Linked DNA regions of Callithrix jacchus. The protein of the gene in region 2 interacts with the protein of the main gene of each other region in a pairwise test. Links are inferred from orthologs where the notes say so. Each region holds a gene or a part of one and is shown on either strand. Other genes may lie near its edges.

What was found.
Region 1: the proteins of PNMA1 (region 2) and SPG7 interact in binary tests that used the Homo sapiens proteins (3 or more experiments, as listed by UniProt). The two-hybrid records come from large-scale screens. The link is inferred for Callithrix jacchus from reciprocal best matches to the Homo sapiens genes PNMA1 and SPG7.
Region 3: the proteins of PNMA1 (region 2) and TNNI1 interact in binary tests that used the Homo sapiens proteins (3 or more experiments, as listed by UniProt). The two-hybrid records come from large-scale screens. The link is inferred for Callithrix jacchus from reciprocal best matches to the Homo sapiens genes PNMA1 and TNNI1.
Region 4: the proteins of PNMA1 (region 2) and ARID5A interact in binary tests that used the Homo sapiens proteins (3 or more experiments, as listed by UniProt). The two-hybrid records come from large-scale screens. The link is inferred for Callithrix jacchus from reciprocal best matches to the Homo sapiens genes PNMA1 and ARID5A.
Region 5: the proteins of PNMA1 (region 2) and SUV39H2 interact in binary tests that used the Homo sapiens proteins (3 or more experiments, as listed by UniProt). The two-hybrid records come from large-scale screens. The link is inferred for Callithrix jacchus from reciprocal best matches to the Homo sapiens genes PNMA1 and SUV39H2.
Region 6: the proteins of PNMA1 (region 2) and GPANK1 interact in binary tests that used the Homo sapiens proteins (3 or more experiments, as listed by UniProt). The two-hybrid records come from large-scale screens. The link is inferred for Callithrix jacchus from reciprocal best matches to the Homo sapiens genes PNMA1 and GPANK1.
Region 7: the proteins of PNMA1 (region 2) and TCEANC interact in binary tests that used the Homo sapiens proteins (3 or more experiments, as listed by UniProt). The two-hybrid records come from large-scale screens. The link is inferred for Callithrix jacchus from reciprocal best matches to the Homo sapiens genes PNMA1 and TCEANC.

The regions. Positions count from the first base shown.
Region 1 is NC_133521.1:47,177,496-47,181,177, reverse strand, and holds part of SPG7 (mitochondrial inner membrane m-AAA protease component paraplegin), read right to left. Parts: intron 3,404-3,682; coding exon 3,278-3,403; intron 2,585-3,277; coding exon 2,422-2,584; intron 2,058-2,421; coding exon 1,884-2,057; intron 1-1,883. UniProt on the Homo sapiens protein: Catalytic component of the m-AAA protease, a protease that plays a key role in proteostasis of inner mitochondrial membrane proteins, and which is essential for axonal and neuron development.
Region 2 is NC_133509.1:108,629,418-108,633,755, forward strand, and holds PNMA1 (paraneoplastic antigen Ma1), read right to left. Parts: upstream 2,831-4,338; 5' UTR 2,112-2,830; coding exon 1,050-2,111; 3' UTR 280-1,049; downstream 1-279.
Region 3 is NC_133520.1:28,435,213-28,439,654, reverse strand, and holds the start of TNNI1 (troponin I, slow skeletal muscle), read left to right. Parts: upstream 1-1,531; 5' UTR 1,532-1,638; intron 1,639-3,057; exon of another isoform or gene 3,058-3,195; intron 3,196-4,442. UniProt on the Homo sapiens protein: Troponin I is the inhibitory subunit of troponin, the thin filament regulatory complex which confers calcium-sensitivity to striated muscle actomyosin ATPase activity.
Region 4 is NC_133515.1:6,485,525-6,489,795, forward strand, and holds the start of ARID5A (AT-rich interactive domain-containing protein 5A), read left to right. Parts: upstream 1-1,412; 5' UTR 1,413-1,479; coding exon 1,480-1,483; exon of another isoform or gene 1,484-2,004; coding exon of another isoform or gene 2,005-2,084; intron 2,085-2,085; coding exon of another isoform or gene 2,086-2,207; intron 2,208-2,209; coding exon of another isoform or gene 2,210-2,537; intron 2,538-2,538; coding exon of another isoform or gene 2,539-2,608; exon of another isoform or gene 2,609-4,271. UniProt on the Homo sapiens protein: DNA-binding protein that may regulate transcription and act as a repressor by binding to AT-rich stretches in the promoter region of target genes.
Region 5 is NC_133508.1:15,841,621-15,845,302, reverse strand, and holds part of SUV39H2 (histone-lysine N-methyltransferase SUV39H2), read right to left. Parts: intron 3,426-3,682; coding exon 2,754-3,425; intron 670-2,753; coding exon 523-669; intron 1-522. UniProt on the Homo sapiens protein: Histone methyltransferase that specifically trimethylates 'Lys-9' of histone H3 using monomethylated H3 'Lys-9' as substrate.
Region 6 is NC_133505.1:39,167,612-39,171,900, reverse strand, and holds the start of GPANK1 (G patch domain and ankyrin repeat-containing protein 1), read left to right. Parts: upstream 1-1,426; 5' UTR 1,427-1,657; exon of another isoform or gene 1,658-1,737; coding exon of another isoform or gene 1,738-1,756; exon of another isoform or gene 1,757-2,154; intron 2,155-2,243; 5' UTR 2,244-2,394; intron 2,395-2,768; 5' UTR 2,769-2,770; coding exon 2,771-3,399; intron 3,400-4,289. Other genes in the region: CSNK2B (casein kinase II subunit beta), read right to left, coding at 329-411, 733-808.
Region 7 is NC_133524.1:13,886,124-13,889,805, reverse strand, and holds part of TCEANC (transcription elongation factor A N-terminal and central domain-containing protein), read right to left. Parts: intron 1,261-3,682; 5' UTR 1,253-1,260; coding exon 200-1,252; 3' UTR 1-199.

The DNA.
Region 1 (3,682 bases), on a different chromosome or scaffold from region 2:
CACGGCCAGTTTACGATAAACTTCAGAATGACCCACACGGCCAGTTTACGTAAAACTCCAGAATGATCCACACGGCCAGTTTACGTAAAACTTCAGAAGGATCCACACGGCCAGTTTACGTAAAACTTCAGAATGATCCACACGGCCAGTTTACGTAAAACTCCAGAATGATCCACACGGCCAGTTTACGTAAAACTTCAGAAGGATCCACACGGCCAGTTTACATAAAACTTCAGGATGATCCACACGGCCAGTTTACGATAAACTTCAGAATGATCCATCCACATGGCCAGTTTACGTTAATGTATTTTTAAAATTGTTTCTAGAGACAAGGTCGGGCTGCCTCACCCATGCTGCAGTGCAGTGGCAGCTCACAGGAAGCCCACGGCACAGCACAGCCCCTAACTTAGGCTCCAGCACTCCTTCTCCCTCAGCCTCCCCAACAGCCGCGAACACAGGCATGCACAGCAAGCCTGGCTACCTGGACATTTTGCTACAACAAAAGCCAGCCCCAAAAAATAACCCTGCAAAGTATCTCAGAAAAAAAAAACAATTCCATGTCACTTTTACTGGGTCAGCTCCATATAAAAGAAAAACATTGTCAAAGCCGGACCAGAAGCCATCTTCAAGGAGTCACACAAGAGGTGCCCGGCCGTGGCGCCCTAACCAGTGTCACACCCTCCCCACGTGGCACAGAGACAGACATGGCCACACAATCAGACAGACTCACTTGAACCCGGAGGTGGAGGCTGCAGTGAGCTGATTGTGCCGCCATACTCCAGCCTGGCGACAGACTCAAAAAAAAACACAAACTACTAAATGAAAAATAAATTAAATAGGGCTGGGCACAGTGGCTGTAATCCCCGCACTACAGGGTGGGTGAAACCCGTCTCTACTAAAATACAAAAAACGAGCCAGGCATTGGGATGGGGGCCTGTAGTCCCAGCTACTCTGGAGGTGGAGGCAGGGGAATCGCCTGAACCCAGGAGGCAGTGGACACAGTGAGCTGAGATCGCACCACTGCACAGACCAAGATTCCAGCTCAAAAAACAAACATTAGCTGGGCATAGTGGCAGGCACCTGTAATCCCAGCTACTTGGGAGGCTGAGGCAGGAGAATAGCTTGAACCCAGGATTCAGAGGTTGCAGTGAGCCAAAATCGCACCACTGCACTCCAGCCTGAGTGACACAGCAAGACTGTAATTAAAAAAAAAAAAAAAAAAAAATTACATCTGACAAACCACTTATAATCCTAGTTTTCTTTTATACTATTGCCTTGACCTTGCTTTTTAAAAATTAAAATCTGTGTTTCTTTTTTCTTTTTTGAGATGGGGTCTCCCTCTGTCACCCAGGCTGGAGTGCAATGGTGTGATCTCAGCCCACTGTAAACTCCACCTCCTGGGTTCAAGCAATTCTCTTGCCTCAGCCTCCTGGGTAGCTGGGACTACAGGCATGTGTCACCACTGCCAGCTGATTTTTGTATTTTTGGTAGAGACAAGGTTTCACCAAATTGCCAGGCTGGTCATGAACTCCTGACATCAGGTGATTCACCAGCCTCAGACTCCCAAGGTGCTGGGATTAAAGGCGTGAGCCACCGCAGCTGTGTTTGCTGAGCACAGCACAATGATGACAGTTTTTCCACCGACTGCTCTCCAGTTACGAATTGCTGATAGTGTGTGCTCTCATATCATCTCCACCTGCAGCATGCAGGGGCACAGGGGCAGCAGACACCAGGGACTCAGGACAAACCACGTCTCATAAGCACTAGTTTAAGACGCTGGAACAATAAATGTAAACAGCTTCATCTACCCAGAAAATGAGTGTCCTGAGAACATCAGAAGCCTCTGATGGTGCAATGGGGGCGCGGGGCGCACAGGCACTGACCATCCATTTCCACAAGAAGCTGGTTTAGCGTCTGCTCCTCCTCGGTGTTGGAGAAGCCGGACATGGTGGTGGAGCGCTTCTTGCCCACCGCGTCGATCTCGTCGATGTAGACGATGCAGGGAGCCCGGGCTCGGGCTTCCTTGAAGAGGCTCCGCACACGGGCAGCACCAAGGCCTGAGGGGACAGAGAGAACCAGGAAATGGGCAGATGAAAGACAGAGCCTCTTCCTGTGCCTGGGCCAGACAAAGGTGTCCCCCAAAGATGAATCAACCTACCAGCCTCAGCCCTCCAAAGAGACACACAGCAGCTGCTCCCGGGGGCCCCTGGCAGCCCCTCAAGGCTCACACACACCGTACTGGCTCACAGGCCCAAGTGAGAGCAGTTTCAAAGTAGACATCATGTGCGCCGCAGACACCTCCTCTAAGCCAAGCCTCGCTTTCCCTCTCTCCTCCCCGCCCACCTGCTTCCCCTTCAGTCTAGCTGCCTGAGGAAGGATGTGTGAAAGGAGCCATCCACAGCCCCCAACCACAACACCTACCTCCAATGACCTCCACGAACTCCGGGCCGGCCATTGCCAAGAATGGCACCTGGGCCTCTGTGGCTACCGCCTTGGCCAGCAGGGTCTTCCCACAGCCAGGGGGGCCGAGCAGCAGCGCACCCTTCGGGACCTTGGCGCCAAGCTGGAGGAAGCGCTCCGGGCTCTGGATGGCAGTAGACAATGTGACACTGGCGACTTGCGGTTTCAGGTTTTTTTTAAAGGTAACGTCTTGCTGCATCACCCAGGCTGGAATGCAGTGGCTGCCATGATAGCTCACTGCAGCCTCAAACTCCTGGGCTCCAGCCCCCTTCTCACCTCAGCCTCTCCAGCAGCTGAGACCATACAGGCATGTGCCACCACGCCTGGCGACTTTTAAACATTGTTTGCAGATAGGGTTTCACTGTTGCCCAGGCTTATCTCCTACTACTGGGCTCAAGCAATCCCCCTGCCTCAGCCTCCCGAGGTGCTAGGACTACAGGCATGATCCACCACACCACGCCCTCAGAGAGAATGTTGAAGTGGCGCAAATGAAAGGCAGGTCATGCACTGCCACGAACTCCGTATGGGGTTTACGTGGTTCTGGGAAAAGCACAGAGCTCTGCCAGGAATCCAGGATGGCTAATGGCATAGCAGGCGTGGGCCTCAGCACCCTCCCCTTGGCTGAACCCTGTGCATGGAGCTTGCGCTGCTGCTTGAACAGGCACCATGGGACAGGTGAGAGGCCACCACCAACCCACAACATATCATCGATGGAATTCCGGGTCCCAAGGCTCTGATCCCCACAAAACGCCTTCTGGGAGAGCAGGCAGGTCATCTGTCTGCTCACGTCTCCCTCCTGGTCAGCGCTGGCTCTCACCTTCAGATAATCCACAAACTCTCGCACTTCCAGCTTGGCTTCGTGCATTCCTGCCACGTCTTTGAAGCTGACCCCTTTCCCCATCTTCCCATCCACAATCGTGAAACGAGCCATTTTAAGCTGATTCTGTGCAGAAAGAAGGAAGTACAAGGAGCTGTGCAAAGCTAGGAAATCAGCAACACAATGCAGGAGGCTCAGCCCACGCACCTGAGCTGCTCCAAGCCCCCGCCCCACGTCTCCATCCCAGGAACCCTTTGGCTCCCCTTGAGTCAGACTGACAGGGCACATGGGTCGGTCTTCAGGCATACAAGGAAAACTTGTTTGACGTCATTAATTACTAAGAGACTTGACTAGCTACTGACCTTAAAGACCATTATCCCCAGCCGGGCACAGTGGCTCCCAGCA
Region 2 (4,338 bases):
TGTGGAGTGGGAAGAGGGTGTATGTTAAGGTGGGAGTACTGAGTGGGAGATGGCAGTGAATGTGTAGAGCGTAGGAGGTGGGTGAGTGTGCACCTGATGCTGGTGGGAATGGAGGGGAAAGCTCTGTGAATGATGGGTAGTGGGTGAAGACATGCTGAGTGTCTGTGGTAAGTAAAACATATGGTTTGAGTTAATGACAGTCTTCATAAGAAAAATGGACAGAGTTTACTTAGGCTAAAGATGTTTGTACATGCCAGCAAAAGGAGAAGACAACAGAAATCGAAAAACATTTTTATTTCTGTATGTAACTTCAAATTTAGAACACTCAGAATTAGTATGAACAAGAACTATTTTCTGACAAAGATTTGAAATTGGGGAAGTGAATTACTCTAACAGGTGCACATCAACCTCTCCATGCAATTTACATCTGTATCTTATGCAGTGAAAAATGGGTTACACAGCTCCGTAACTGCAGTTTTTAACATCCCATTTTGCAGTATCAGAATACTTTTCAATTAAACTGATCCACATGTTTAAAGATGAGAAATAGTACGTTTACATTGTAAGGTTGAGTCATAATAAATGCACATTCCCTTCCATTAATAAAATCTGGAACAAGTTATGGTAGACAGAAAACTATCCACAATATCAGTAATCTAACAGTTCACACTTTTACTGAACACTTCCTGTGAGCCAGGCCCCGCAGTAAACATCTGAACATGCAATTTCACATTCAACGTGGAATAGAAGTGTCACAGGTTCACACGTTTTTCACAACTGATTATGATGGCCATGATGACCGCGTGCACTAAGCTCTGTGTCCAACCAGGTAAACGGCATTGTAGCCAGCAAGATCCGCTAGCAGCTCACAGTGCTTGCGTGCACAATTTTAGAATGTTACATGAATACTCAGGCCTGACAAATCCTGCCCTCCAAAAACAAATGTAACAGGACTAAGCCTTTACTACTCAGACACATCTGTAAGACCCCACAGGGACAAGGACAGTAGCTGTGATCTGGGTCTGCACTAAAGCTGCCTTTCCTGGGACTCAGAAGTGCCCTTCCAGGCCTAACTGCAGAAGGGTGGCCTCAGCCTCCTCCTCCTCTTCCTTGGCTTCCTCCTCACGGATCTGCACCAGCAACTCAAAGAGGTTTGGGGCCGGCCCTTCCCCAGCCCCGTTAAGCCACAGCTGCCTTCGGATGGCCCCGCTTTGGTTGGCCCCGGCAATGACCTGCTCTAGACGAGCCTGGTTCACATTATCTTTATCAATGGCCCCCTTCTCCACCACCTTCTGTAGCAGAGGCTCCAAACGAATGACATAAGCAGACAACTTTTCTCCCGGGTTCTGGTAAGTGTTCAGAAATTTGACCTGGGCATCCCTAGAGCTCTCAACGCTCCCAAACACCTGCTCAAGCGCCTGCAGGCATTCGGCAGTAGTTATCGCGGGGTTGTTGGTCTTGAGGATGCGAATGACATCAGCGGCGGGGCCTCTAAGACTCTCCATCAACCGCCGCCTCTTTTCTGCATCTGGCACCTGCCACTCCTCTAGGACCTCATTAGTGTGCTCCAGCCAAGGATCAAAGGTTTCCTCTCCAGGCCCTGGGATGTCCCTCCCCGAGAAAAGTGTCAGCTTCTTGTACCATATGGACTCAACAAGAGGTTGAATAACATTATCCAAAATATAGTTTAGCATCTCTGCTGGCATCTCTGGGACCGGGGTCGGAGTAGGGTTCTGAAACCCAAGGACACGGGCAACATCCTGCACGGTCCAGCCCTCTCTAGCTAGGAAGAGGTGCAATCTTTCTAAAAATTCAGCATCGGAAGTCGGGGGCTTAAAGAACACTTTCCAGACTCCTCCTTTGCCCGGCAACTCCCTGGGGATCGTGGCGTAATCGACAGCGCCAGTGAGCTCTAATAAGGCTGCTTTCGCATTTTCTTCCCTCCAGAACATTCTCCCAAGCACTCGGTAGGGCACCTGGGGCATCGCAGCCTGGAGGGTCTCTTCGATTTCAGCCTCATCACAGTTCACTGGGATGCCCCAGACCAACAGAGCTCTCTGGGAGTTCACATCCATTCCCCTGCACCAGTCTTCCAACAGTATCATCGCCATTTTGTCAACTATCAAGACGCTAATTCTACCAACAGACAGTGGCTCACCTTGCTCCTGGCCTTAGAACAACGCCAGACACTCCCCCCAAGTAGGCCCAAGGGAGGCGAGTTTCACGCAGTCACGATTAACAAAGACACAGAGTCCTGACCTCGCCCTTCCCTGCCCCCACAGTCAGTCAGTGGACGCACTTGGAGACGAGCTCGGAAACGCTGAGGCAGTCACGCAGCCGTCGCCATCTTGCGTCTGGGTCCGGGTCCGGGTCCGGGTCCGCTGCCAGCAGCCGAGGCGTCGCGTCGTCGTGGAGCGGGCAAGGAGCGAAGGCGGGCGGCGAAGGCAGGCGCGATGGGCCGAGAACCGCCGAGGTGTGGTCGTCGGGCGCTCGCGGCGGCTCCCAGAGAGGATCTGGCGTTCGCGGTCGCAGCCCGGTCTTCCGAGGGCGAGGAGAGGTCGTTTGGGAGACCCGGCACAGGCAGACTGTGCCGAAGTCGCGGCGGCTGCGGGCCAGCTGAGAGCGGCTTCTTGGCAGGAGCAGGGACTCTTCCGGGAGGGTGGCGAGGACCGCCGAGGACCAGAAACGAAGGCAACAGAGGAGCAGGAGAGCTGGCGAAGCTGGGCTGGAGACAGCAGAAGAGAGGATGAGCAGCGGCGGCCGCAACGATCTGCACTGCGCTGCTACCCAGACGTAGTGTCCTACCCGCAACCTGCGGCGATGTTACTGCAGCAGTGAAGGGTGGGGCCAGCCCGTGAGCGGCGTCTGCCCCACTCCGTCACGCCCCCGCGGCGGAGCCGCTCGGGTGTCGCCATGGCAACGGCTTCTCAGCCTGCACGAGACTCGTCTGCTCTGGCGGCCCACCGCGGGCGGGGGAGTGGGGGTGGGGCGGAGTCCAGCGGTTACCATGGTGCCCCGGGCACCTGTTTCTCTGATGGCGTAATTTTCTTCTTCTTTTTTTTTTTTTAAACAGAGAACAAAGACTGCTAAGCACCGTATTTTAAAAATAACCCAATCCTGGAGTGGACTTAAGATGATATTGTTGGAAATGCATCCCTCATGGTGGACTCATCTCAGATTGCTCAGCCAGTCCACCCTGCACGTGAGAATATCCTCAGAACCGTAGCTTCCCTGTTCCCCCAACCACACTCTGCACCCTGCATATTTCATCCCAACGCAGCCAAAATGTCGGCGTGTGCCATTTACGTATATTTTTGTAAGATACGGAGTTGCCTTTTTCTTGTCTAAAATTTTGTAAAAAAGATGTTTGTCTATGTCTACTCAGTCATCTTTTAGCCAGGTAAACATTAATATGTTATTTCCCTTTTCCTGGCTGGCATCATTGACAATAGGCTGCTAAAAGAGAATCCGTATGGTTCGAAAATGTTGAGTAATCTTTGTGCAAGCAAGACAAGACCCACTTACATCAATCCCAGATGGTGAAAATCCCAGAGAACACAGCATGCAACTCTGAATTTTTAAAACCTTATTTAATAAAAGGTTTAAAGATACAGAAGAACATTCAAAAGTAAATAAGTTACATAGGTACATTACAATCACATCAGCAAGATTCTTTAGTGTATTAATTTTTTTCTTATAAAAAGCACACAAAAAATAAAATCTTCAGTCTCTATCACAACTGTACAGCAAAAGAGGTAATATTTATATATATATGTACACTATTTTAATATGTAACAGTCTTTTTAAAAAAGGGTGCCACAGGCAGCAAACACAAAAAAGGCAGTGTCTGATCATTTGTTTCAAAATAAAAGGAATATACTTATTTATATGCTATTAAAATATTTGTACAATAATTACAGACTGTCAAGGCTGTTCCTGTGCTGTCCCTTCCAACAAGGCCTTCAACTTAGAGACAAATGAGGAAAAAGTGAAACAGCTGCAAATTGTTAGAGGCAAATATTAACATAGCAAAATGTGGGGAGGACACAATTGTTTTATAAAAATATGCCTACTTCCTGTAAACCTATGGAGTTAGGCTTGCCAGTCTGATAATATATACCATCCCAGAAAAGCGAGCCCCAGTGAAAACAACTAAACAGCTGAGGCTTGAGTATGTGTTGTATTCCTCCTTCGTCTTAACATCTGGCACATGAGAAGAAAGAGGATAGGTCACTGAGGCAGTTAAATATAGGCGATCCCTTTAGACATAAGCAGCAAAAGACTTGGTGCCGGGGTGGAGAGGGGCGAGGCAGAAGGGGTAGTGTGTACCTTAGCTGT
Region 3 (4,442 bases), on a different chromosome or scaffold from region 2:
GGAGAAACCCCATCTCTACTAAAAATACAGAAAATAACCAGGCATGGTGGTGCACCTGTAATCCCAGCTATTCAGGAGGGTGAGGCAGGAGAATCACTTGAACCCAGGAGGTGGAGGTTTCAGTGAGCCGAGGTCATGCTATTGCACTCCAGCCTGAGTAACAGAGTGAGACTCTGTCTCAATAAATAAATAAAAGGAAAGTTATTGTACACATCATAATAAGCCAAGGCAATAAACTCCGGGAGGCTCATCCCCCAAGCCCCTAACTTCTTCCTCCCTCCAGCTGCTCCTTTTGGCTACAGCCCACCTTCATTACCATCCCAGCCTCTCTACCTGGAATCCTGTGCCCCCAACTCCCCTGCCTCCCCAGACCCTGTTCTTTCTCCCTGGCAGCCTGCTCGCACAGAGGCTTCTCAAAGGTGACCTGACCAGAACAGACTTAGAGCAAGCTCTATTAGGCAGCAGAATGTTGGTGTACAGAAGACAGGGCCTTTACCTCTGTGGGCATGGGGGCATGTCTCCTTAGGACACCCCTGCCCATTACTCTCCCTCTCCAAATGGGGAGCATGGCTGGGGCTCCCTAACCTCCTGCTGCTTGCGAAGCCTCTCTCTGGCATCTGAGAGGGGTCAGTGTCCTGCGTCAGCCCATGAGATGACAGACTATAATAGCCACAGGATTAACATAGCAGGCATTGTCTTTCTCTGACTATAGGGTGGGTATTATGTGTTCATCAACCGTCCTAAAAATACCCAGTAAACAGGTGCAGCCCCTGCGGCACCAGTCTCCTGGGATCTGTTGGCATCTGGCTGGAGATGAAGATTAGGGCAGGGGAGAGATGAATTACTCTCACTGGGTTCCAGGCATGGTACTCGGTTGTCTCCTGATTTCAGGAAACCCACCTGGAGGGGGATGCAGTGTCTGCAGACCCTAGGACCTCCCTGAGCGTAAAGTTGTGCCTTGCTGCCGCTGCTGTTCTGTTCAGCCCCAGAAACTCTCGCTGGGTTCAGCCTGCAATGCTGCTCACATCACTCCCCCTCACAGCCAGCACCCTCCTATCCCACGTGCACCAGGGAGCCACCGAAAAATCCCTGAAAGCTGAGTCTTCAGCCCTCTCCAATTTTGGAGCATGGGTTCGGACGCCTCATTTCCATATTTCCTTGTAAGAGATGCGGGGTTAGCCCAAAAGTCCTCTTCCCCCAGCCACTACTGGCCCCTCTGGGCCTTTGCCGTGACCCCTGGCTTTCCCTTATTCCCCCTCCGTGTCTCATCTCTGTTCAGTCCCCACACCTGGTCTGGCTGTTTAGTTTCTCCCTTCCTGCGGCTTGAGCCTCCCTAGGCGGGTGCTGGTTTCACTCGGTGGCACCTATGTGTGTGTGCTCCGGAGTCACAAACTCACGTGACTCTAGGCCTGTGTGCCTGTGTGTGCATTGCAGCACGCATCTGCCCTATGAGGGGTGTGTGTGGTGGGAGGGGTGGGAGGGAGGAGGGGCAGCAGGAGGGGGCAGTGGGTCTGTTCTATTTTTACCGGCCAGTTGCTGCTGGCCACAGTTTTCATAGCCTCCCCTTGGCTCTGCCCCTCACAGTCTGCAGTCTACGGCGAGGCACAGGCCAGTCCCGCTCCACAAGGACTGAACGAGGTAAGCGTCCACAGCCCAGGACCTCAGATCTAGGTTCATCCCAGGCAGAGACCCTGGGGCTTTTGTTTAAGGAGAAAGCAAGGAAACTGTTTCTTGCCTGTACAGTGTTTTGCTGGTAGAACATTCCTAAAAGACTCCCACGGCGTTTTGTCCCACAGAATGGCATCTCTTCTGCAAAACTGTAGTGAGAGGCGAAAGCTTTTCCTGGCTATTAGGAGGCTGGGAGCAAGGAGCAGAATCTTCCTCCAGGTTCCTTAGGAGCCCCAGGGCAGAGCCTAAGGGATGGTGCTTTCACACGAGATGCCCAGCAGGGTGTGGGAGGGAGAAGCACCCAGGGGAAGGGGTGGCCCTGGGATCTGGGAGCCGGAGCAGAGGGGCTACAATTGCAAGCTTAGGCAGAGCCGGGTGAGCGTTCCAAGTCAGGAATGCCTGCAGCAGGAGAGAAGGAGGGTGCAGGCGCAGGACTCCCAGGGAGCCTAGAAGGCAGGGCCAGAGCCCTCTGCTGACCAAGGAAACCATCTTGCTTCTGTGTTCTTTGTCTTTGAGGGATGCTGTCTCCTCCCTTTGCCCATCCCTCTGTACTACAGCACAACAGCAGGGGGCGGGGGCAGACCAGCAACCCCTCTTGACTGCTCCTGCTCAGCGCTCCTGGCTCTGAGGAGCCGCAGTAGGTATTGGGGGTCCTCTTGGAGGAAGGCAATGGTGGCAGCATTTTGGTTTGGGGCACAAGAGCCAGTGAACACATAAGCCAGGGCAGCATCTACAGGGCAACCCAGGGCTTGGGACAGGGCGCTGTGTGGTTGGCCCGGACTCGGGTGGGGGCTGAAGGCAGCATCTGCCACCGGCTCTGGGAGTCATAGTCCCACAGCAGCTCTGAGATTAGGCTTTGCTGTTCAGAGCTCAAGATGGGGTTGTGGTGTGTGGTAGGAAGCCCAGAGCCATGGGCTTGGGAGTGTGGCCTGTTAAATAACCATCAGTTAAGGAGGACAGGGATGCCCTTGAATGGGGGTCCAAGGTCGGGGGCAGGGAGCAGGGGGAAGCACATCAGCCTAACTAGATACTTGTGGACGTGATTATTGGGTGTGCAAAGTGATCAGTTTCTTCTCCTACACATACACTCTGTCTCTCTCGCACACTCTCACACTCACACACAGTCACATTTACACACACACACACACACACACACACTCAATTTCATAGTCTAGTTGATCGTCCCTTCCATGCTGCAGAGCCTCAGGGAAGGGAAAGCCCAGCTCTGAGGCAACCATCAGAGACTTTGCACCCTCCCTCGGGTGGAGGATTTTCTCATTATCTCCTTGCTTGCTACTTGTGGGGGAGATGGAATCCTGGCTCTCCAAGCCTTCCAGTGGCTGCTATCTACATCCTGACTTCTTATCAGCCCTTGCTTGTCTTCTACAGGGCCCGTGTCTGGTGGGTGTGAGAGCACAGGCTGAGGCCTCTTGCCTGACGTGGGACCCCTCGGTCTGGCATTTGTCAGTGAGGCAGGCTGGGGGCAGGCCCTAGAGCTTGGCAGGAGGTGCAAACTGGCCTTGGCAGGTAGGGCCCCACACTGGGGACAGTTGGCTCTCTGAGGGAGAGAGGGAAGCATGATCCCTGCCAAATGCCCACCAAGGACAAGGCACATCCCAGGGAGGCAGACACAGACCTGGTGCCCTCTGGACACTGGCATTCCTGGAGGCTGGTGATGGACAGATGGGCCTGGAGGTGTCTCTTCGCTAGCTGGTGTTTCCTTTGGACTTCCTCAGTGTCTTTGGAGAAGGAGAGCCCTCAGAAGAAGCAGCTGCCTATAAAATCTAATTCCAGCCAAGCATCTCAGGAATTCCTGGATGGTCTTCACACCCCTCCCTTTGTGCCCCAGCATGACAGCTGAGACTCGGGGGTCACACTACCCTCCACCTCCTCCACCCCAGCCTTACCCTCCCCTGGTGGCAGAGGCAGAGGTAGAGGGAGGCCCAGGAGGCTTTCTGACCCAGTGGAGATTCAGGGGAGGTGGCCAAAGCTGTGTTCACTGGGGTCTGAACAGTGCTTCATGGGCAGCAAGGGAAGGGAGAAAATTAGGGCAGAGGAAGGGGTGTCTCTGGGATGAAATTAGTGGCAGGCACTTTGCAAGGGTCCTTTAATTCCCCACCTCCCAGGCCCCCCAACCAGGTTCTTGAACCAAGTTCAAACTCCTGGCCCTGAGCTCCATGCCTGCCCCCTCCCCACACACCGGGCTCTCCCACCCTTCACTTCACAGCCTGGCCCACCTGCTCCCCACCTCAGCTGTCCCTTTCCTTGCCCGGAGCTTTTGCACAGTTCTCCCCACCAGCCCCCCACGTTGGAATGCTCTGTGTCCAGGCCCAGGCAAGACAGTGAAGGATGTCTGGCTTTGGAACATCTCCCTCCACAGCTGGACAGACCCCCTCTTTGGCCTGGGCCCCAGGATCACCTGGTCAGGGGGCTTCAAACTGTGCGACACCATCAAATGTCCTCACAGAAGGCCACAGGGCTGCTTTGATAACCCCCTTCCACTAGTGCCATTTTGCTCTTTTTGTTCGTTTGACTTTTAAGTTCAGGGGTATGTGTGCAGGATGTGCGGGTTTGTTACACAGGCAAACGTGTCGTGGAGGTTTGTTGTGTCAATTATTTCATCACTCAGGTAGGACAGACGTACCCATTAGTTCGTTTTCCTGATCCTCTCCCTCCTCCCAGCCTCTACTTTTTGATAGGCAAAATGCCATCTTGCTTTTACTGATTGAGTTTATTTTACTTTCAAGTAAGATTTGGTTGGAACAAAGGATTCA
Region 4 (4,271 bases), on a different chromosome or scaffold from region 2:
CTGTACAGGTGCTGGCTCTTACAAGCCAACCCATTACGAGGTAGACAGGGGATTTATCCTGAAGAGCTCACAGTGTCGTCCGCTGTGGACTGAGCCTGCAGACATCTTCCAGCCCAGGGCCAAAGGATAAGGGTCAGAATTTCAGGTTCACCAAACTACATCCCTGGTCCGCTCCTTTAGTGTAAGGAGGAGCACCAGCATGACGAGTGGTCAGTAATGGGTGCAAAGGGAGTCGGGGGGATGCCTGGGTCTAGCTCTGGCTCCAACACCTGCCTGCTGAGTTACTTAAGTTAATCTATCAGACCTCAGTTCTACCCTATAAAATGAGGACCTACCAGCTGTGTTACTTGAGCTAATCTAGCAGACCTCAGTTTTACCCTATAAAATGAGGACAGTGATGGTGTCAAGTGCATAGAGCGTATTAAAATTCATCAACAAAGATTTTTGTGTAGCTTCTACACAAAATCTACACAGGGAACCCTGTCCCTGCTAGGAACAGGGTTCATGTCCTAACTAGCCACCTGCTAAGACTGAAACCCTGACCCACTGTTTCCTCCACTTTGGCCCCCACAGGTCCAAGTTACTGCTATGTCTGGCTGGGCACCTCCTCCTGCCTCCATTCACCCTAGGCCTCATTCCCACCTCCCACAGCCTGAACTCATGCCCTCTCTTTGGACTGCTCAGCTTGTAGCTTCCACTCTGCATTAGGTATGTGGACATTGACTATTACTGGCGGGCCTAGCCACAGAGCCTAGGCCAAGGATTTACTAGTTTGGTCCTTGTCTAACTCACACTAACCACCTCTCCTGTTTGTTGTTGTTTTGAGTTTGTTTGTTTTTGAGGCAGGGTCTCCATCTGTTGCTCAGGATAGAGTGCAGTGGTGTGATCAAAACTCACTGCAGCCTCTACCTTCTGGGCTCAAGTGAGCCGCCCGCCTCTGCCTCCGCCTCCCAAAGCGAAGGGATTCCAGGCGTGAGCCGCTGCTCCGGGCCTCACCTGGCCCTCTATGTTGGGCTGGGTGGGAAGTGGGAAATGCACAGGGTCACTTTCAAATCAAAGTCAAAAGCACTTTGCTTACTCCACAGTAAGCAAAACTTACTGTGTAGACCTCAGTGCTCTACTGAAAGCAAGGAGGATTTATCCAAACTCTAGTTTTGCCTCCGGGAAAACTGAGGCACAAGGCAGCAATGATTCCTGGGAGTCCTGCCTCTGCCCCTCTAGGAAAGGAGCCTATTCTAGGGGCCCTACTCGGAAGGGAGGGCGCGCACCACAACTCCCAGAGGTCCCTGGGCTCCGGGGGCGGTCCCGGTACGAAGGAGCCGGGCCCACCAATGGGAGCCCACAGTGGGGCGGGGCGGGGCGGGGCTGCGGGGAGGCGACCGGCCGGCGGCACCGTGAGCCAGTAGCTACAGGAGCGTCGAGTCCGTACGGCTACGCGCTGAGGGTCTCTGGGCGGGCGCCGCCGGACCTCGCCGGGCCATGGGTAAGTGGCTCTGCGGACGGCCCAGGATCTGCAGGGAGGGCCAAGGCGGTGGCGCCGGGTCCCCCCAATCCTCGTCGCCGTCGGTGGCGCCGTGGGGGGCGGAGAGGGGCGCGGGTCCCGGGGAGCAAGCCTGGCCCATAGTTTCAACGCCCCCCGGCCGGCGGGGAAAGGGTGAGTCTGGGCGTCCGCTCGCGCTTCGAGAAAAGGAAAGACAAAAAGTTTCGGCGGCCAGGGGCTTCCCGGGCGTTTATCTCGAAACTCTTTTCGCCGACTCCTGCCTGAAATGTGCCTAGCCCGGTACGTCTCTGTAGTCCCACTTCCTGCTGCGGTTTCCACCTCGAGCTGGGCTCAGCTAATTTGTTGTGACAGCTGTCGGCAGCCACCCCTCCGCCCCGTGACATCCCGCGGGTTTTAGAACCGCGGCGCCGCGGGGCACAGGAGCCGGGTCTAGGGCGCGCGGCGCTTTCCTCTGCGGCCGCCGTTTCCTGAAAGGGGCTGAGCGGGTGTGAAGAACTTGCTCAATGCGCTTTGAAGGCTCGACTGTTCCTCTTTCGGCCGCGGGCTGCGCCGATGGTCCGGGGCGCCCGGCTTCTCGCCCCCTGTCCTTTCTCTCTTTTCCTCTCGGGTCTCTCCGCGCACCCATCGCAGCCCCGCAGGAGAGGGGTCGCTTCCCTGGTTGCTCTCCTCTCCTGTCCCGAGTGTGTCCCCTTCCCTTCCCTTGGTCTGAGAAGGGACGGGCTGGCGGCCGGGGAGCTCAGGGAGAAGAGGGCAGGAGCGCAGGCTTCGAGCGTGCGGGAGATTCCTGGCTTCGCGCTCGGCCCGAGCTGCGGGGCAACCCGGGACCGCACACAGTCACTCAGCGGTGTCCAGGAGTCGCCTGGGCCAGGGTCGCGTCACCCTCCACTCCGCGCCGGCGTGGTAGGGCTTTCGGGATGAAGGACTCCCGAGGACCCAGGGGGTCCCGAGGCACTGCGGGGCCAGTGCCCCTTTGTTTGCAGAGTCTTGGGCCAGCAAGGAGGGCTCTGCGGGCACCAAGGGAGGACAACAGGTGCCTCGCCCCACCCAGGCCTCGTTGGTGGAAGCCCACACGCATGGTGGCGTCTTTGTGACTACAGGCAACGCTAGAGCACAGGAGGAGTGGGAAATGGGGGCTCGAGGGCTTCACCCCACAGCAGAGCTCAGAGCCCAACCTAGGCCGTAGGGACCCGCCTGGGGCCTAGAACTTGACGCGGCAGAGACGGAAAGGGCCTCCGAGAATCTGCCTCTACAGTTGGGAGACATCTTGGAGAAGTCACCTGGCACCTCTGAGCTTCTGCCCCCCGTAGGTGCAATGGGAACACACGAAACCTGCGGAGTTCTCACTGTCAGTCACCACCAAACGTGGCCGAGACTCGGTGGGGCGGGACAGTGAGGGTTGAGCCCCATCCTGGAATAGGGGCTTTTAGGACATCCCAGAGCCCGGTAAGAGGGACAGGGAGAGTGGGGCTTGGAAGTTGGTAGCCTCACATTCAGTGTCCCGCGCACCCTCTTCCCTTTCTTTACCCTCTGGTGGCTCCTGTGACCTCAGCTGCCCCCAGACCCTGTCTCTCTCTCCCTCCCTCAAGCTGAGGTACTGAGGCTGGGCTGTGGCTTGAGCTGCACCTGTGCCCTGGTGGGGATGGGGGTGGGCCCAGGTCCATCGCGTTTCTCCTCATTGCTGGCTTCAGCTCAGCCCTTGGCAGGCCTCCCCTCCCCAAACTGCCAGAGCAAGCTCCGCGGAGACTTGGCCTGCCGCCCCTCCCCAGCCGCCGAGTGGACCCGCCGCTTCTCGGCTTCAAAGGCTGTCTTTGTTTCGCTCCAGCTCAAGCTCGGAGAAACTTAAGCCAACAACCTCAGCCGAGGGGGTGGGGCGGAGTCTGCCGGTTGTTATTGAGGCTGCTGTTACCATTATTGTGGTAATTGACGCAGTGTTCCCAGTCCGTGACTTTTCATGAAAGGAAGTGTCACTTCCTTCCCATCACACCCTGGGTGAGTGGGGCGGGCAGCAGAAAGTGGGGAGGGAAAGATAGAAGGAAAGAGGTGTGTGCCTCCAGCAGACCCTTAAGCTTGAGAGCTGTGTCACCGTGGACTACTTAGTCACTGCCCCTCTCTGGGCAACAGGAGTCTGTAAGTCCAGTGCGCTCATCCTGCTGCACCCAGGAGGCTGATGTTTCCGGAGCACCGGCTCGGCAGTGAGGCGCCTTGGGGAGGGAGCAGGACAGGCAGACTGTGGTTTGTGGGGGAAGCCTCCTTTCTCTTCTCGGTTTCTTCTGCTGAGAACATTGGGTGCTTTGAGTCTAGCATGCCCATCTTGTAGATGGGGAAACTGAGATACAGAGCAGTGACCAACTTGATGAGAAGTGCAGCCATGAGTTGCTAGAGCCCCTTGGCCTATCTGTCCTCTTGGTCTACTCTCATCTGCTTCCAGCCTGATGTCGGCCAGGGCAGGGGACCAGCTGACTTCCCCACATCCACCCACTGCCCAGTCCCATAGCTACCTTCTAGTCCTGGCTAAGCCTCCTGAGACATTTAAGTTTGTCTTCAGTGACTTTTGCCCACTGCCCCCCACCCCCACTGCCTTCACCTTCCTGCCTTTGCATATTTCCCCTTTGCCAGGTTGGCTGAGCCCTGGCTAGAGCTGGCCCCCTACTCTCTCAGGTAACAGGTAGTTTTTTAAAATGAATCTCAGTAGGTATCAACAGGTCTTTCTTCCTCAAGATTACGGAGATAACACCCCTTATTCAAAGATGGTGGGTCCTCTGGGGCCCCC
Region 5 (3,682 bases), on a different chromosome or scaffold from region 2:
AAACATTAAAAGGTAAGGAAGAATACTAATTTATAATTTAGAAAAATAACCCTACATAAATACTCTACAAATCTTTAAATTTTATAAAAAGTTAACGTTTACATTTTTTAAAAATACATTTACCTTTAGTTGTACATCCTAAAATTTAGTTGTGTTAACTTCCATTAAGAAACAAAGTTGTGTGTGATTCTTGGACATTTCACCTATTAATTGCTCTGCTCATTGTGATATAAAAATAATACCTACCGTACAAAGTTTAAGTGAAGTAACACATGTAAAGACTTTCGCAAAATACATGCTATTAATATTTGGTAGGTACCTCAAATATTTAATTTTCCTAATACAGCAATACATGCTATTTTGCGAAATACCATAACTTAACAGATGCCACTCTCATTGTAAAATACATATTTTGGAAAAATTAAAAGGATATGTAGCCTCAAGACAATTAATCTGTAGCTATGGAAAATAGTACTAGGTTGAATTGTTAGTTGTGTCTAAAGTTTATGTATGTCTTCTTACGCTGTGATTCACAAAATGAGACACATTGCCGTATCGAGCTGCATCCACTGTGAATTCATCAGATTCATAGTCCAGATCAAAGAGATACGTGATTCCTTTATTGTCATATAACTGTCCCCGTCTTTCAGCTTCTTCACTTGTGATTACCTAAACGGAAAAAACTATAGTATATTATGTAGCTATTGTTGAACTAAAGAAGCATTCATCTACATACCTATTAATATGTGAATGCCTACAAATATTTAAAAAGTAAGAAATTCAAGGGTCATCAAAGCAAACATTCACACAAACTAAGAATCAGATGGAAAGAGGTGGGAAAATGAGGAGAGGAAAAATGCTAGTGCAAAAGATTACTTTTTTTTTTTTTTTTTTTTTTTAAAGGGTCTTTCTCTGTCACTCAGGTTAGAAAGCAGTGGTGCCATGACTCCCTGCATCCTTCAACTCCTGGGTTCAAGTGATCCTCCTGCCTCAGCCTCCTGAATAGCTGGACCACAGGTGCACACCACCACACCCAGCTAATGTTTTAGTTTTTGTAGAGATGGGGGTCTTGTTATGTTACCCACACTGGTCTGGAACTCCTGGGTTCAAGTAAGCCTCCAGCCTTGGCTTCCCAAAGTGCTGGGGTTAACTGTACCCAGATGATTTATGACTTTTTAAGCAGGATTTGAGACACTGCATTACTTTCATTATAATTAGGATGTTCAAAAAGCTATAGCTCTCTACAGGACACAACTGAATGTTAAGGACTAAATCTGCAAGTATATAGTCTAAATATGATCCAGGCACATTTTTCCTGTAAGTTATCTATATGCAGTTACAAATGGAAAATTGTTAAAAATACAGGGGAGAAGCTATGTTAACTCTGGAATGGAAAGCTTTGTTTTGTTGAATAGGTTATTTTCATGAAATTCTGTAAGTCCAAAAGCATCATCTATAGTTCTGCTCTTAAGAACACAGTTTTATGACATACTCAGCTTAAGAAACCAAAAGTGTCTAAAATACTTTATGTTAACAACCAAATTTGGCTGCTGCACTCATTAGGAATGCAACTTAAAATTTTGGTTAACGAAAAGAAAATTTGATTATGCAAGATGTTGTATACTGAATAGTAATTTACAATAATTTACCACTGTCTTAAAAGTATAACAAATTAAAACAGACATCTAATTTCAGAATTCTAGATGAATACAGATAATTATAGGTGACCCAATTCCAACTAAAAAAACCAGAGTTGACAACTTCAGATTTGCAGCCACATTCTTATCCTTCTAGTTACAGCTTAACTCACCCTTCAGTTCTAAGCAGTGTGGTGCCATGGTGAAGACTATATGGTCAAGATGCAAAGATTCTGAGCTTTGCATCTTGCTTATTTTATTACTATGTGACCTATGTGACCTTGGGCAAGGTGCTCGATTTCTTTCACTAAAATAATGGACATAATAGTACAATCTCCCCCCCCAAAAAAAAAAGTACTACCTGAGTTGTGAAGAGGATTAGTAAATTAATACATCAAGTGCTCAGAACAGTATGTGACACGTGGCAAATAAATATTTTTTACATTTATATATATATGATTTGCATAAAAGTACATTTGCTAGTATTTGGTAGTTTTGAGAATGGTCTTCACAGTTCAAAAATGAGTTACAGATGCACAGTCTAATTTTCTTATGGATGCAATATACTATCTTTCATATTGATACAAAACAGAGTTCTGCCAACTACACTTAACCATATTTGGTCAAATAGATGAAAGAAATTACAACTTTCAAGTTTTAAATCTGAGTTTCTTCTTAGGACTTTTGGGTAAAAAAGTTGTCATATTTTAAATTTTACAGGCTGGGTGTGGTGGCTCATGCCTGTAATCCCAGCACTTTGGGAGGCCGAGGCGGGTGGATCACCTGAGGTCAGGAGCTTGAGACCAACCTGACCAATATGGTGAAACCCCGTCTCTTTAAAAAAAAAAAGAAAGAAATTTTACAAATGCTAGCTTTCATGAGTGGAAATGCATATTTGTTGAAAGATGACTATACTGAATTGTTAAAATATATATTTTTGTTCATTTTTTATTTCTAAATATGCCAGTGAACTCTTCTAAATCTGAAAATGAATTTCTACATATCTGCAAATGAAAATATCAAAATGTACCAAATCTGTTACAGAGATAAAAAGGTAATTTTCTAAAAGTACAAACCTTACATACCCATCATTTGCTATGTGGCAAATTAACATACCTCTCCAACATATTCCATGACAAAACTCATCCTTTTAATCTTCACAAGGGTCTTTACACCCCAGCCACGGCCATTGCTAGTTCGAAAGATGCAAAGTGAATACTGTGTGCCTTTTTGTACAATCCTATTGGGACAATCAGGTCCACATTGACACCTTGAGTTGCATTCATAGATGGGAGTACCAGGTGGGATTTTAATTTGCTGGTTTTTATTATAAGCCAAAAGAACTCCAGCTTCAGCAGGACAACATTTTTCAAAGAAGCAATCTGTGCATGAACAACCAAAGGTGGCTTCATTGACTAAGCTGATTCCAGGAGCTGGTTTGTATTCGTTAATGTAGTAGAAGTCTGAAGGTGGGCCCTCTAAATCAACCGTATTTTCAACAAATATCATCCCTTTATGATTCTTCCTTCTGTTGAGTTCATCTTGCCATCTCTGCAGAGCTATCCTTTGTTTAGCCTTCTTCACAATGTACTCAGCGATGGCAGGTTTCAAAGTTTTGTTATTGTCTTTTGGAGTTATTGCTTTGCCTTTATTTACCTGAGATAAATAATTATGCTTGTCATTAGAGAATTGCTGAAGCAGTAACGGGCACTTCAGATTTTGCAAAGGTTCCCAAGTATTTGTAGAATCTGGCCATCCTTTCCATTTTACAAGATAATATTCCATATCCTTAAAATAAAAAAGAAAATAAAATGCAAATCAGATGGTTATTTCCCAGTTTTACTGAAAATAGTTAAAAATCATAAAGAATAAGGTATCCATTACCATTTTTCTTACTAATAGTTCAGAACATGTAGTAACAGGTTCCTAACACATGAAGTACAAATCATACAAATAAAACTATTTTTCCTTATTACATAAAATATAGAATTTAGATATGGCATAACATGTTTGATAAGAGGCTAAAGAGTTTTACCTGGAAAAAG
Region 6 (4,289 bases), on a different chromosome or scaffold from region 2:
ACCTGGAAGGCAGAGGTTGCATTGAGGTGAGATCACACCACTACACTCCAGCCTGGGTGACAGAGCAAGACTCGGTCTCAAAAAGAAAAAAAGAGAAAGTCACAAATTGCCTAGTCCAACGTTATATTGCTGGAGGATGGCAGAGTTGGGACAGGCCCCAATTTTGCCACTTTAGCACAGATTTGCCGGGGGTTACTGAGGGGACTCTTCATTGATGGGAAGTTTTCAAGTAGCATATAAGAGAACGATGAGGAAGTGGAATATGTGGAGAAACGTCTAGTGGGAATCTATGTGGAGCTGGCAAGGAGGGGGGTTGAAGAGAACTCACTTCACAGAAGAATTCATTGCCACGGAGCCCACAGAACCAGGAAATCCAGGACACCTCCTCTGAGCTGCTCATCTTCACGTCAGCTGGAAAACGAAGAATGTCAGTAAAGCTCAAGTTCTCCCTCCTTGCCTCTGGTATCCTCCCTCCTCCCACATTCGGCCCTCCAACCACGGGAGACTTTAGAATTTGGAGCCGTCCTTTTTTAAAGGATCCCAAACTCTGAAACACTCCTCTCCAGCTCCTCTAATTTACGTCTCAGCTCCTTTTCTTTGAGGTTAAACACACTTTGGGGTCCCACCACTTGAGAGAACCCAACAGATACTTTGACCCACCAGCCTGACCCACATCCCTGGAGCTCCCGAAGGCCAGGGCCCTCTCTACTTTGTGTCACCTCCAGCACGGACCTCGGCTCAGGCTCCCTACCACTGCAGCTCTCTGCATGACCCCGGCGCCTTTCCCAAGCGTTTCGAAGTTTATCATTCTCTAGCAAGAGCCGGGCCCCTCCTCTTCTTATGGGCTGGAGCGACCGTCAAGTCCCTTTCACTGGAGTCCACACATCTTGCCTCCGCTCCTCAGGCCACCTCTCCCTCCTTTGTGCCGGACCTGGTCGCTTCCTCCCCCGCCCCCACATCAAAGTACGGAGACCCCATGTGCTGCTCCCAACAAGAGACTCTGAGTAGCGACGACCTCAGACTCACCGCCTGGACGGGGACCAGGACTGGGGTGGGGTAGGGAAGTCGCTAGTTCCAAAGAACGGCGGCGACCGCTACAGCGCAGGCCGCGGACCCGACCGCGGCAAGAGAAGTGGGGTGGGGGGGAGTGGAAATTGGGGAGGGTGGGGAAGAGGGCAACACGCAAGCGCCAAGGGTCAGGTGCTGCGATGGATGCCGGGACACGGAGTCCCAGGTAGAAAGAGAAACTGGTGAAATGAAGGAAAAGCGAACTACCAATCCCAGGAAGACCCGCGGACGACCTGGCTGTCACGAAGCCCCGGAGGAGGACGCTTGCGGGCGGGGCACAGCGAGAAGCCACCGGAAGCGGAAGCCAGGTATGACGTTTGGGGCCAGGGAGCCTGGGAAATATAGTTGTGTGCTCACTGGGAGAAAAGCCGAGATGGGGCGGGGAGAGGAGGGAGACACGCAGTTCCCGTCTAGTTCCGGCGCAGCGGGGCGCTGCTGCCCAGGGGACTGGCCCATCCCCGGCCAATCCGCTGGGTCCTTATTGATTGTTGAGCCCCTAGTGAGAGTCAGTCCCGCCGGACACCCTTGACTGGCCTCCTGTTACCCTCCCGGCTCTGGCCTCATGAGGCGAGAGGTGCAGTTTGGCTCCGTGCGTAGGGACTTGGGTTGGGTGGGCTGGGCTGAGCTGAGCTGAGCGTTGTGAGAACCAGAACGGCCCAGTGCGGTAACCTGAGGTGGGGCCAGCCATTTCGCTCGTCCCCTTGCACTTCTCCTTTTACGCTCTAAGTGTGACCTTAGAACCCTGGTCAGAGTAATGGTGAGGGGCAGGCGTGACGTTATTTCATTTCACGGCTTCTCGGCATTCCACAAGTTTCCCTCCGCCTCCTGAGGGCCTTTCCTAACACGGAGAGTGGATTCCCAGGTCCAGAAAATGGACTTGGAGCGAGGGGGCGGGGAGGGGGGCGGTTCACGTTGAGGAAGGCGAAGGGCATTGTGGGGGCGTATAGGTAAAAGTAGAACCCTAACCGACAGATCCTGGTGCTCGCGCCAGCGGGGCGCGCAGAGCTTTGCGCGTTTGCTATTGGAAAGGTTCCAGCGCGGGAAACTGAACTGGGAGCTTTGCGCACGCCTGAGCCCTCAAGTAATGTGGGTTGTGGTTTTTGTTGTTGTTGTCGTCGCCACGCATGCGTCTTCGTGCCGTGCGGCTGTTTGATTGTGTCAACTCTTCTGTTTAGAATAGTGCCATTTTGCCGTACGAAAGCTACACAGCATCGCAGACTGGAGCCTGTCCTCCAGATCTTCCTAGGGAGTGACTTCTGTTTCGGAGAAAACTCCAAAATGGTATCGAGGAAGATTTAAAGGGACAGGCTGATTTTTTTCTTAATGGTATGTGTGTTTTACGGAGGGGTAAAATGGTTTCAGAAAGAGGCTGGTATTTATTGTTGGTGAGGATGGGGGTGGGAGTGGGGGCGGGACGCAGGACCGCTGGACAACTGTCTCATGGAGTTTTATTAACCTTTGCTAAGGAGCAGAGTCGGTTATTGTAGGGTTCTGTGTTTTTACAGAAAACCTCTTTCCCTTAGGCCCTGCAAGGTCCTAAGTTGTGGCGTCATTTTAGCGGCAGGAGGGTGTTTTTTGACTAGTTTTTCTCATCCCAGCATGTCCCTGGAGACTCTGGTTGCTACAGGGGTCACCAGTAGCTTGGCTTGCTTGTGTCATCCTTCCCTTGCCTGGTTTCATTTTCTCATTTCTCCCAAAAGCCATGTCCCGGCCCTTCCTCATCACCTTCACCCCAGCCACTGACCCCAGCGACCTCTGGAAGGATGGGCAGCAGCAGCAGCCACAGCCCAAGGAGCCAGAGTCCACCCTGGATGGGGCTGCAGCCCGAGCTTTCTATGAGGCCCTGATTGGGGATGAGAGCAGTGCTCCTGACTCCCAGAGATCTCAGACTGAACCTGCCAGAGAAAGAAAGAGAAAGAAAAGAAGAATAATGAGGGCAGCTGCGGCAGAAGCAGTGGCAGCAGGACCATCAGGAAGACATGGACAAGGGAGATCCCTTGAGGCTGAGGAAAAGATGACTCAGCAGATACTGAGGGCAGCCCAGGAGGGGGACCTAGCAGAACTTAGGAGACTGCTGGAGCCCCATGAAGCAGGAGGATCTGGGGGGAATATCAATGCTCGGGATGCCTTCTGGTGGACCCCACTGATGTGCGCTGCTCGAGCGGGCCAGGGGGCAGCTGTGAGCTATCTCCTGGGCCGTGGGGCTGCCTGGGTGGGGGTCTGTGAACTAGGGGGCAGGGATGCAGCTCAGCTCGCTGAAGAAGCTGGTTTCCCTGAGGTGGCTCGCATGGTCAGAGAGAGCCATGGAGAGACAAGGAGAACAGAGAACCGGTGAGGGGAAGCTAGTTCAGACCCATGTTTCAGTGTGTTCTGCCTTTCTCAGCCACTCCACACCAGAGGCCCCAGCACAGTGCTGAAGAGTTCTTTCCTTATGGTCATGTGTAAATTGTCATGGTGGTGTAGTCAAGTGGTTATGAATGTGAGCTCCCTGGATTGATTTATGTTATTATTTTTTTGAGACAAGAGTTTCGCTCTTGTTGCCCAGTGATCTCGGCACACCACAACCTCTGCCTCCTGGGTTCAAGTGATTCTCCTGCCTCAGCCTCCGAGTAGCTGGTATTACTGGCATGCTCCACCACACCTAGCTAATTCTTTACTTTTAGTAGAGACAGGGTTTCTCCATGTTGGTCTTGAACTCCCAACCTTAGGTGATCCATCTGCCTCGGCCTCCCAAAGTGCTGGGATTATAGGCGTGAGCTACCATGCCCAGCAGCTCCTTGGCTTTAAAGCCTGATTCCACTTACTTGGGCAAACAACCTAATGTCTACATGTCCTAGTTTTCCATCTTAGAAATGGGGGTAGTAAGGATTGTTGTTAGTATTCAGTGGGTTAATACATGTAAAATACTGGGTGTGGTGGCGCCTGCCTGTAGTCCCAGCTATTCGGGAGGCTAAGACTGGAGGATCTCTTGAGTCCAGGAGTTCTAGGCTGTAGTGTGCCATGCCGATTGGGTGTCCTCACTAAACTCGGCATCAATATGGTGACCTCCTGGGAGTGGGGGACCACCAGGTTGCCTAAGGAGGGTGAACCAGCCCACGTCAGAAACGGAGCAGGTCAAAACTCCCGTGCTGATCAGTAGTGGGATCGCACCTGTGACTAGCCACTGCACTCCAGCCTGGGCAACAAAGCGAGACCCCATCTATTAAAAAAAAAAAAAAGGA
Region 7 (3,682 bases), on a different chromosome or scaffold from region 2:
CCCAACATAAATAGTCATCTACTCCCTCTCCCCAAACTGTAACTTTTAGGGATGGTGATGTGAGCTTCAGCTAATGACTTTCTTTCCTCCTCCTTCTGTTTTAGAGAGTAGTGTGTATAAGATTTTTTAAAAGCACAAAAGAGTTGCACAAATAAAAGGTATCACTCGGGTTATTTGTTAAGAGAACACTGATTTACAGTTACAAGCACACCCAGTTGCTATGGTACCACTGCTCCCCACATTCATTGCAAATTACATAAGTCATCATTTGTTCATCTGCGTTTGAATTCCGCACCCAGGTGGGAAGGAAAAGTGTTCCTCTGGCAATTGTGGTGACTTTGCAATTGTATTTCTCACAGCGTCTGCATTTTATTTTATTTGTCTGTGTGCCATCAATCACTTGGGGAAGGTAATGTTCCTGAATACAAGATTCTGTGTAGGAGGCTCTCAACTGCTTCAGTTCCTTATTGGCCATCTCCATGACACTCATTTCAGCAAACTCTCGTGGAGACATGGTCCCAGAGAACAAGTTTTGTTTTAAGTGAGAATTTTTGGGGTTCTTCAAATTGGCAACTTTGCTTCTGATGCAAGTTTTATATTTTTTGATGTTCTTTGAATAAAGGGTAAAAACATGCTCTTCAATTTCTCTTGCAAAGTTTTGCCACAAATCGGCTCTGGGTTGATCTGTGGAAGAAGTAGTTAAAGCTGAGTAAAGAAGCTCTATGCATTTAGTTCTCATGGGTGTTGGATCCAGCAACTCACTTGATCTCTTCCCAGTGGATTCAGGGTCACCATCCTCAAAATGCTCTTCCTTAGGTTTCAATTGAATGGCTCCATTTTCAGGCACAATCATTTCACTGGGTTTTGCAACATCTTGGGACGATAGAGAATTCGAGCTGCAGATGCCCAGTGTCTCATCATAACTTGGGTCATGAGAAAGTCCTGAATTTTCTTCTTTATTACCCCTCACAGGAAGTAATTTAGGGCTGTCCCTTGCTTTGAAGTGAGTCTCTTTATAAACAGCTTTCCACTTTGATAGCAAACACTTGGCTTTCTTTTTCAAAGCCACAGAGGGGCAGTTTGTCAGGACTCTGTACACAACTCTGACCACATCTGTCTCCTGGAGATGCTCCTTAGTCACATAAATTGTTTCTAGCTCAGTAAGGTGGTTGCCAAGATCCTCAAATTTCCTTTTAGACATCAGTTGCTCAATAAGGGAGGCTCTGGCAGCTATCTGGTTCTTGTTAGACATCTTTACAACTGCAAAGCAAAAAAGAGGTTTCCGCTTTCTTAAGTTTGTCTTTGCTGGCTACAGCTTCTGGATATTAAAAAGCACTTTTTGTCAGTTACCTAGGCAATGTTTTATGAAGGAGTCATGTAATACAAATGCATGTGACATGCTAGAAAATGGAATCTTTAATGTGGTATGGTTTACTTTCAAGAGTTTAATTCCTACTAGTTAAAAAACAAACAAACAAACAAAAAAACCAGTATTGCAAAGCCTCTATATAACATCTGCTTAGAGGCTTGCTGGAGGATCTGCCATAGCTTGTCCAGCTCCAATTTTACAAATCAATTATCTTTAATCTTTTAGTCATTCCATTTGGGTGGAATCTGGTGGTCATGCTGGAGATGAAATCATGCCAGTGTCAGCATCAATATGGCAAGGCTGAACAGTGCTAGACTGTTTTTCCCCCAGAGTCAGCTACATAACTGAACTACTTGCTCATTTCATAATCTTTAAAGTGGCATTCTTCTGAATATAAAAGAGTAAGAAACAGGACAGAAAAGGTTTGCTAATGTCTCAAGCAATCTAAGGAAACTGTGAGATAGCACAGGTTGAAAAGCAGCCAGAGCTAGATCTGCAGGTCCCAAAAGCCAACAGGCTACACTGTGCTGCCTTAGGAGTCTTCTGAACAAGGGAAAGGTTCATTCTCAAGGATCCAGGTGATTTATGACTTTAGACTTACTGGTTCCTACATTTTGGTTTCGTTAATTTAAAAAAAACTTTTTAAGTGTGAAAAGTTGCTCAATGATTATGTCTGTGTGAATCTCATCCTAGGCAGGCAAACATTTACTTTATCTAAGTGGTCTATTTTTTCCCTCCACATAATGTACATAATCCTGTCTATATGATGTCCTTGGATCTATATTTATCTGTCTGGTCTAAATGTAAACATATGCATCTTGACAGCAGGGACTGTGTCTTTTCAAAAATCTATGGGCTCTGTTTTATAGCACTTGATACTAAATAATCACCACTGAACATACACAGGCTAAGAACACTAAAGTGATTACAGAGAGAATTCATACAATCTTCCCAATTACCATCTGACAAGTGACATAAAACACAATGACCTTTTAGTAATCCTACTTCCATAAATTTAAGTAAATGAGAGAAGTGGAGACTGCATATGTAAGAATTTTCTTCTAACTTAGGAGAGACTGGAAGACCCTCAAACAGGAGAATGGTTAAAAATACGGCATACTCCCAGGATGATACAATAATGTAACCATTTAAAAATCATGTATTTAGATAATATTTCATGACATAGAAAAACAGTCATTATGTGAAAAAAATCAAGATTTGAAACTATATATGAAACTACAGTTATCATATGACCCAGCAGAACCAAGAGAAATGAAAACGTATGCCCACACAAAAACTTCCACACTAACGTTCATAGCAATATTATTCATAATAGCCATAAGTGGGAAATAATCGAAATGTCCATCAACTGATGAATGGATAAATAAAATGTGATTCATCCACACCACAGAATATTATTCTGCCATGGAAAGGAATGAAGTATTGATACAGGTTACAACATGGATGAACCTTGAAAACATTATGCTGAGCAGAAGTCAGACACAAAAGACCATATATTATATGATTTTATTTACACGAAATGTCCAGAACAGGCAAATCTATAGAGACAGAAAAAAAGATTAGTTGTTGACTTGGTGGAATGGGACAGAAGAGCAGTGGGGTGAAGGAGGAGCAGCAGCTGATAACATACAGGATTTTTCTTGGAGGGGGGTGGGACAAATAAATTTTCTAAAGTTGACTTATTTGTGGTGATGGGTTACCCAACTGTGAATATACTACAAAACACTGAATTGTACACTTCAGGTGAATTGTATGGCATGTGAATTACATCTGAATAAAGGTGTTATTTAAAAATAGAATCTGATCCAAATTTTATTTAAGAATTATATGAGAAAAGACTGAAGAGATACACAAAATTTTTAAGAGGGGCATTTTCTGAATGGAAAGATTTTAGGTAATTTTCATTTGTTCTTTTACTCTTTTCTGCATTTTCTGTGATGAGTATGTATTGTTTTCACAATCAGAAAAGTTATAGGTCTAATATGATTTCATGATAAACTGTATACATTTAAGATATCCCTACTCAAAAATGGTGTGAGTGATGGATCAATCACCTTCTACCCACCTTCCCTCTGGAATGATACATGTACTTAACATTACTGAACTGCACACTTGAAAAGGCTTAAGACAGGCCGGGTGCAGTCACTCACGCCTATAATGCCAGCACTTTGGGAGGATCCTGCCTTGTGATCCGGTGGGCGTGGTGGCATGCACCTGTAGTCCCAGCTACTCAGGAGGCGGAGGCAGGAGAATCTCTTGAAGCCAGGAGGCGGTGGCTGCAGTGAGCCGAGA